Linked DNA regions of Cricetulus griseus. The protein of the gene in region 1 purifies or fractionates together with the protein of each later gene. This does not show direct contact. Links are inferred from orthologs where the notes say so. Each region holds a gene or a part of one and is shown on either strand. Other genes may lie near its edges.

The links. The genes of interacting proteins can lie anywhere in the genome.
Region 2: the proteins of Rack1 (region 1) and Helz purify together in Homo sapiens (affinity purification with mass spectrometry; 3 studies listed by BioGRID and IntAct, counting the BioPlex papers as one, with this or other methods). This does not show direct contact. The link is inferred for Cricetulus griseus from reciprocal best matches to the Homo sapiens genes RACK1 and HELZ.

Annotation. Positions count from the first base shown.
Region 1 is NC_048600.1:63,460,858-63,464,805, forward strand, and holds the end of Rack1 (receptor of activated protein C kinase 1), read left to right. Parts: intron 1-162; exon of another isoform or gene 163-230; intron 231-408; coding exon 409-504; intron 505-820; coding exon 821-931; intron 932-1,366; coding exon 1,367-1,507; intron 1,508-2,383; coding exon 2,384-2,494; intron 2,495-2,950; coding exon 2,951-3,016; 3' UTR 3,017-3,062; downstream 3,063-3,948. UniProt on the Homo sapiens protein: Scaffolding protein involved in the recruitment, assembly and/or regulation of a variety of signaling molecules. Interacts with a wide variety of proteins and plays a role in many cellular processes.
Region 2 is NC_048600.1:120,530,490-120,535,570, reverse strand, and holds the start of Helz (probable helicase with zinc finger domain), read right to left. Parts: upstream 3,409-5,081; 5' UTR 3,324-3,408; intron 1,986-3,323; 5' UTR 1,930-1,985; intron 1-1,929. UniProt on the Homo sapiens protein: May act as a helicase that plays a role in RNA metabolism in multiple tissues and organs within the developing embryo.

The DNA of each region.
Region 1 (3,948 bases):
GTTGGGGCATGGAACCCTAGGCCAAGGCATCTATTGGGCAGGCCCTTACACATGAGCAAATACCCAGATGTGTCCCATAACTTCCCTAAGGGTTAGGGGGTTTTAAAATCTCTACCTACCTCCTGGAAGTATGTTTAAGTACTTGGGGGCTACAAGCCAGGCAGAGCAGTGATGACTCCAACATGCCATCTGAGGTGCAGTGCTGAAATCCAGAGGCTGTTTCTGAGCTGTGCCTGGCACTGTGCTCCATGAGGAGGCATCCTAGGACTCAAATATGAATCAGCAGGCTTGACAAATGACTTTACCAACTGTTCTGTTGATCCAGAAGTATAGGTTTGCCAGAGAGTGCTGTTGCCCCACTTAGGGTAGTTATCTGTAGTCCTCTTACTTACCTTGCATCTTCTGTAGGATGAGAGTCATTCAGAATGGGTGTCTTGTGTCCGCTTCTCCCCGAACAGTAGCAACCCTATCATCGTCTCCTGTGGATGGGACAAGCTGGTCAAGGTGAGCTTCAACAATGGCCTGGCCCCATTAGAAATCTAAAAATGTTCCCATTCCTCTGAGATGGTAATCACTCCGGTTTGGAATGTTTTGCAAATTAAATTACCTTGGCTTTGGCTCTTGATGCTTTATCTAAGTTCATTAGGGATTGAGTTTGTTTTTGAGGCCAGATCTCACTCTGTATCTCTGATAGGCCTGTGTCAGCCACTCAAATATTGGGATTACATGCGCTTGCATAAAAACCTGTTATGAGTTACCTTTAAGGAAGATGCTATTCTTTCTTGTGGCCATAATCCTGGTCACTCACCTTTTTCCCTAGGTATGGAACTTGGCTAACTGCAAGCTGAAGACCAACCACATTGGCCACACTGGCTATCTGAACACAGTGACAGTCTCTCCAGATGGATCCCTCTGTGCTTCTGGAGGCAAGGTATTTAGGGGACCTCTGATCTTTATTTATGGAGAACACTTTCATCTGATAGCATGTACCAGTTAAAAGATGAGCTTAAAATGTGGGAATGTTTCTAAGGATTATCATAAAATATATAGAAAGGCATACCAAAGAAATTTTCCTTTAAAACTAAGTTGGTAGCTGAATAGATGGCTCTGGGATTAAGAGCACTGACTGTTCTCCCAGAGGTCCTGAGTTCAATTCCTAACAACTACATGGTGGCTCAAGACCATCTAATAAGATCTAGTGTCCTCTTCTGGATTAGGGCTACACACAGGCAAAACACACTGTATACATAAATAAAAGTAAGTTGATATACGTATTATACATTACAGGGAAGGTCTTAGGACCATGAACGCTGACACTTCAACCATTAGCTTTATCTATCCTAACTCACCATTTATGTCCGTCCAGGATGGCCAGGCTATGCTGTGGGATCTCAATGAAGGCAAGCACCTTTACACACTAGATGGTGGGGACATCATCAATGCCTTGTGCTTCAGCCCCAACCGCTACTGGCTCTGTGCTGCCACAGGCCCCAGTATCAAGATTTGGGTAAGTGATCTGTTGTGCACCACATTGATTTCAAGCTTTATTGGTAGATTCATCATTCAGCTGCTGTCAGTTGACAAGTTGGGATTATTTTTTCTTAACACTTAGCAGCACTGGGCAACATTTGACTAATAAAAGGGAATGCCCATATTTGGCAATTTGTTGAGTCATTTGGGCCAAAGTAATTCTCCTTTGAGAGGCTATTTTGTCAGCATATGTGGTATCTACTCACTAGATGACCATTAACAGTTACAGCCACACACCATGAAAGATAAGCAAAAATAATCCCAGTAGTGTGTAGCAGGTAGTAGAGCACTTAGCTAATGCATGAGAGGCATAAATCAAATCCCTACCACATGTGCCACTAGTATCAACTAAAAGACTGGGGATTCTATGTGGTATTTTTATGTTTTGGACAGTGTGTAACCCAGGCTGACCTTACATTTATGAGGAGTCATCTTGACTAAGTTACATGGTCAGATCTAGAACTTGGCAGTCTGCCTCAGCCTTCCAAGTAGCTCCAATTGTATAACTAAACCACTGGCCCTCTAAATGATTGTGGGTTGCTAGGGTGGGGGTTGATATTTCATATGTCCTTGAAAGAAAAAATAATCTGGAAATCTGAATTAGAAATAGGCTTTCCAAGTAGTTCATTACTGTCTGTGGTACAGGATAACTGGCCCATAGCCAGGGAATTCTGTCTCCTCCATAGTTTGAGGAATAAACTGTTTTAGGTGTCAAGCAAAGGCCCTTTAATTTGCCATCTTAAGGTCTCCATTTAAAAAAAAAAAAGCTATGGTATGACAACATACTACAGACCATAAAAGTCCATTGCATAATTGTTATGGGCATCCTTACCTGATTTTGGTTTGTTTTCAGGATTTGGAGGGCAAGATCATTGTAGATGAATTGAAGCAGGAAGTTATCAGCACCAGCAGCAAGGCAGAGCCACCCCAGTGTACCTCCCTGGCATGGTCTGCTGATGGCCAGGTAAGTACTTGATTCTGCCAACTCAGCTTCCAGCTTACTCTTCATATCACGGGCATAAGACTAATATATTAGCAGGGCAGTGGTGGCGCACACCTTTAATCCCAGCACTCGTGAGGCAGAGGCAGGAGGATCTCTGTGAGTTCAAGGCCAGCCTGGTCTACAGAGCTAGTTCCAGGACAGCCTCCAAAGCCATAGAGAAACCCTGTCTCGAAAAAAAACAAACAAACAAAAAGACTATTATATTAACAAATGAAATGATAAAGGGTGACTAGTTACAGAAAATACTATAATCTATCTGGGGAATGATTCATGATTTGGACCTCTAGAAGAGGCTTCAAAAGTATAGCAAGCTGTTTCTTCTGGGAATGTGTGCTGAGCATGTCTTAGACAAGTTCTTTGTTTGGGGGCCATACAATTCATTGTTGGGCATGACCCTGTTGCCATTCTCTTTTACAGACTCTGTTTGCCGGTTACACAGACAACCTGGTTCGAGTGTGGCAAGTGACTATTGGCACCCGCTAAAAGTTTATGACAGAGTCTTAGAAATAAAGTGGCTTTCTGAAATCTTTTCAGTTATGGTTTGTCTAGTGAGCAAGTTCCTAACTTGCCCGCCTACCCACCCTTCTCCCATTTGTTGTGTTTTGCTTGCATACATGTCTATGCCAGGGAATATTAGGGTGATGGGAAACTTTGGGACATTCAACATGGCACTGTCTGTCCTAAACTCAGGCCCACCTATGTTTGCCTTCCTCAATGGTGTATCTATCCTTCTTGGTTGCACTTCATTCTAGCAATAGCAGCAGAATAGTTTTTTCCAAGGCAGGGTTTCTCTGCCCAGTTTGAATTTAGCCCCATCTACTTGGATCTACGTATAACATTTAGTCCTTACTAAGTAAGCTACATGAATAAGGACCTCCCATTCCTCACTGAAACAGGAAACCCTAGGAATGCATAAAGAACCAGAAATTCAGGGTTGATTGTATGCTCCTGACAGCTAAGAAGCAGTTCCAGGGCTTCTATGGGAAAGTACTTCATGAAGCAAAATTGCTGCTTCAAAAGAAAGACTCCACAACAGCAGCAAATAAACACTTTATTATCTGCAACACAACCCACCTTTTACCCCAAGAACATGAATTGACCTCAGCCACAAGCAGAGGACAAAAGCTGTTAGGTGACAGAAGGCAAGGGGTTACTAGAAAAATAGATTATACCCAAGGCTCTCCCAAGGATCCAGACCCCTGTCCCAAGCTCCTTAACAGGGCTTACCAAATGGAACTACAAGGTGCTGAGAGGCCAGAAACTGAAATTCACTGAGGGGAAAAGAGCCTGGCAGTGAAGACTTGGAGGGGTTAGGTGTGAGGAGCTGGGCTCCTAAATAAAAACTGTACGACAGAGAGAAAATAATTTATTGGGTGATATAATGGTGTGCAGTGTCACGTTGACCATTCCAGATC
Region 2 (5,081 bases), about 57 Mb from region 1:
GTTACAACTGGGAGGTCTAAGACAAGAATATGCCTCCATCCACATAATCAAAATAAATTTAAAAGTCTGTACTTGCAGCCGGGCATTGGTGGCGCACGCCTTTAATCCCAGCACTCAGGAGGCAGAGGCACGCGGATCTCTGTGAGTTCGAGGCTATCCTGGTCTCCAGAGTGAGTGCCAGGATAGGCTCCAAAGCTACACAGAGAAACCCTATCTTGAAAAACCAAAAAAAAAAAAAAGTCTGTACTTGCTCTGCCAAAAATTAAAATTAAAATAAGCTCAGCTGTGTTTCAACACAAATAGAAGTGTTATGTGCTAAAAGAATCTTGGTCTATGTCCACTTCCCTTTCCCAAGTCCATACTCCTTTTGTTGCATTTCAAAGGCAAACTATCAACTATATGCATCAATCTTGAGGGATTGGGGAACACAGCTTATTCTTTAAAAAAAATAAAAAATGTAATATGAAAAGTTTGTATTTCAAAATCTAGATAGCCAAATATGTTAAGGGGTTAAAATAATAAACAAATCTGCAATAAATCAATTGGCCATAGTTATTATTTTCCTACAACAGTAGCTCTCAACCTTCCTAATGGGGCAACCCTTAATACAGTTCCTCATGTTGTGGCAATCCCAACCATAAAATTATTTCATTGCCCCTGCCCAAAAAAGCTAAGCATCAGTGGCACACACTTTAATCTCAGGACTCAGGAGGCAGAGGCAGGCTGTTCTCTGGAAGGTCAAGGCCAGCCTAGTCTATAGAGTAAGTTCCGGGGCAGACTCCAAAGCCACAGAGAAACCCTGTCTCAAAAACAGTATTATTTCATTGCTACTTCATAGCACTAATTTTGCTACTGTTAGGAACTGTAATGTAAATATCTGACATGTAGGATATCTGTTATGCACCCCACAGGGATCTGCACCCCCACAGGGATCTGGACCCCCACAGGGATCTGCACCCCCACAGGGATCTGGACCCCCACAGGGATCTGGACCCCCACAGGGATCTGGACCCACAGGTTGAGAACTACTGTTCTAAAGCAACCAGAGGTATCTTAATTTGAGAAACTGGTTGAAAACTATAAACAGCAAGCTTATTTCTTCTCCCTGGTACACGGTACAAACTGTTCACTAACATATAAGTCCTTTAAATCCACGTCAGTAAGCCAGGCATGGTAGCATCCCAGCACTTGGGATCAAGGTCAGTAGTAAAGACCGGTCCAGAAAAAAAAAAGTCCATGGGATAAACAATAATTTGAACTTACACACCATATAGAACCAGAAATGATGACAGAGTAGTCACATCCCCAATAAGCAACACAGAATTTAACACTATCATTTCTGTTTCAAAGTTCTATCTGACATTTACTATTCAGTTTTTCAGAAAATAAAAGGGGCTGGGGATGTAGCTCAATCATTCTGCACTTGTCTACTACGTGTAAACACACAGGTCTCGTATATACCAGCACCACAAAACAAAAAAACTAAATTCAAAAATAATAACAGAAGTGATTTGCTTGCTGAAAATTATTATTTCCAATGGAAACAGTCTTTCTTCCCAAAAGTCCCACAAACTGTGGGTGTGTGAACTTTATCTACTCAAGTGCTTATACTCAGTGTGGACATCAAAACAGATAAAAACCAGACCATCCAATTAAAGTTACACAAGGAAATTTGAAGAGGCAAACTATAATTACTCCTGGAGAAGACACTGATCAAGGATAGCCACAAATAACATTTGGCTCTAGACAAGCTCTACTATGTGTGAATAAATTGGAGCCACTAAAAAGGACGGTACAACTTTGCTAACTCTATCCCTGCCTGTATCCCAATTGGCTGACTGATCTGCTTGGAAAGTAGCGGCTGTCTTACCCTTGAGTTGGTGACAATAAAGAGGGAAAACAGGGCATAGTTTTTAACTTCAGTCTCACCTTGCCCATCTCACCAGCACGGTAGTTCATTAGTGATCAATTACTTCATCCAATTCCTGGGGCAAACAGAAAAGCAGAATATCTATACAATACCAGTTGGAGGCATTATCAGTAGCAAACATTTTATCACCCTGAGGTAAAAGAACATGGAGATATCAAGTGGAAAAAGTTAACAAAAATTGTACAGTATGAAGCTTTGGAGGAGGAGGACTGTTTCTTTTACCTAAAATTGAAAATATTTTCTTTCAGTAACAGATTACAAATGTTCTTAAATCTTAAACATAATAAAGTCATCTTTTCAGCACTGATTAATCTTGCTTTCAAAAATAAAAGGGGGAGGAAAAGTAAAGGATGGGGGAAAGGCTATGCATATGAGTGAAGAGGGCAAAACCAAGAACAAACTAGGCCAGATAACGTCTCCCTTCTTCCCCTGCTCCGGGAATCCACTATCTCTGGAGCTACACTTTTGATTATATTAATGGCTTGCCTGAAAAGTGTAGTTTGCAAGGGAGAAAGAATGCCAATTTCTGAGTTCAACAAAAACTTACAAGGTTCCCAACCCAAAAGGAATCTGAAGACTCTGGCTTCCAGCCCTGTCTGAAAGGACCCTCTGCAAAGCCCAGGGGGCACAAGACTCAAATTGTTTGGGGAAGAGAAATCAAAGTTCCCAAGACTGGGCGTCCCAGCCCTTGGAAAGAGGGAGAGAGAGACACACACACAGAGGCAGAGAGAGAGAGAGAGAGAAGCCGGCCTTTGGAGGCCACTTTCTCCAGGAAGAAGAGATAGTGGTTTTGTTTTCGTAGATGTGCTCACGGGCCACGCACGTCCCAGGAGGGGGGCGGGGAGAGGGGGGACCACAGTGAATCATGGGCTCTGGGGCGCCCCCCTGACCCACTTTTCGTAGTGTCCCCTTCCCCGGGGTCGCCGCCCCACCCCAGGTGGAAGTGCTAACCCGGAGGGCTGCACCGCGCGCGGCTTGGGAGGCCGCCCGCTCCCCACCCTAAGCCGCGACCCCGGGGGCGCTGGGCGTGCGGGGACTCCGGGGCGGCCCGTGCCCGAGCACCCTCGCGCGGGCTCCCGGGTCGCCCCGAACCTCGGGCGTGTGCACGGACCCCCGGGTCGCCGCCTGGACGGCTGGCGCCTCAGCCCCCCAGCGGAAGGGAAAGGAGACTGAGGAGGGGAAGGAGCAGTAAACAGCTCCAGCGTCCGGGCCTCGCCTCAGAGAGAGCCCCGCTCCCCAGGCCCTGCCGCCGGCCGTCGGGACCCCCCGCTGTCCCCGGGGCCGCGCTGTCCGGGGCCCGGAGCGCCCGAGGGGAGTCCAGGCCTCTTCCCGGATGGCTCTGGAGGCTCCTGAAGCGACCCGGGCAGCGGAGAACGGGGAAGTCAGGACTTACCTGTCATTACTTTCTACGCCATCTTGGATCCACTTGTCAACGTCCCCACAAAGCATTATGGGTAAGAAAGAGCCTTTAAAGTGACTCCCCCCCTCGGCCCCCGACTCCCGCCTCCTGCCGCCGGCGCCGCCCCCTCCGGCCGCACCTCCCTCCGGAAAGTTGGCCCCAGAGGCCCGCCCGGCCCCCTTCAGCGCCTGCGGGACTTCGCGGGGAACATATCCCCCCCCTCCCCCGAGCGCGCGCCCCGGGATTTCCAACTGTGCCTTTGGGGTGCTCTCTTTTCTCCCTGCCCGGGTCTCCCCCTACCCCCGACTCGAGCTGCTGTCTGCCCCGCCGCGATCCTGCCCTGGCACGCAGACGCCCCACTTCTGCATTCAATCACCGCGGGGTGTCCTGGGCGCGGGTGGCGTGCGAGCCGCTGGCGGATGCATGGATGCATGCAGGGATGCAAAGACGCAAGCATGAGCACGGCTGCGAGCGGTCCCCCAGCTCCGGGTCCTTGCTAACGTTCGCGCTTCCCACCCCGGGGCATCCGCCACGGACGTCGCACCCGCGCGCGGGGACAGTGCCTCTATCCTGGGAAGCCACTCTGGGGCCGCCGGATTCCAGGAACTCCGCGAACGCCGCCTAGTCAACCCGCCGGCGAAGCGCGATTGGGGTTTGGGAAGGTTTAAGCTAAATGCAACTTTTACCCCCAGTCTACTCAGCCTCACGCCGTCTCCCCTCGCTGGGTAATGTGATCCGCGACCCTCTAGGTCGGAGGACCCCTCCCCTAGGAATGTGGCTTTGGGCCCCGTAGGATCTACCGGTTAGAGTCCAAACTGCGGACTGTGACTTCCCCCGGCAGGTAACTCCCAGGAGCCAAGTTGCAGACTCCGGGTGGGGCGTGGATGCGCGCCCGGGCCGGGAGGAAGGCCCCCGGGAAGGTGGGGGCAGTGCCTACGGCGTTCCAACTGTCCTGTTCCCACAGGGCTGCGACCCCAGGCGGCGGGACAAGGTAGAAGGCAGGCGCCACGCTGGCTCCGGGCAGAGAGGAGGGGGATGTCCAGAGTGGCTCGTAGGCGACCAGGGCGCAGGAAGTAGGAGGCGACCATGAGCCCGCTACAGACCTCTGCGAGCATCCCGCAGGCATCTGCTTTCTCGCTGCAAGACAAGCCGCACGCTCTCTACCCCTCCCTTTTGCTTCGGGCGTGCGGACACCTGGCCCAGGTGACTACCCCCACCCCCACCACACACACACACACACACACACACACACACACACACAACACACACACACACACACACGCCTTGCTCCCTGAAGTACCTGCCCCCCAAACACCCAACACACACCTGGCCCAGGTGACTACTCCCACCCCCAACACACACGCACACACACACGCCTTGCTCCCTGAAGTACCTGCTTCTTGCTGCCCTTGTCCTGTCAGAAATGGAGGTCTGTTGATTAACTCCCCACCCCCACTCTGTACGTTCTCTTTCCAAAGCCTCCAGTGTCAGCATTTCTGAGTTTGGGGACTTCTGCCTACCCCGAACAATATTTGGTGTACAAAAGAAAATCCTCCAAGACTCTCCGGGTTGATCTTGTGCTTAGCATTTGCGAGGTTTTACTCCCCAGCGGTTGGAGGGGTGGGGGTATTATTCCCCAGCACACTAAAGCTTGTTAACAAAATGCTGCTAAAAGCCTCTGCGAATTCGAAGAAATTGTGGGCACAGACCTTGGCACGTACACACCCTCTTTTCGGTGCAAGTGGAGGGTCT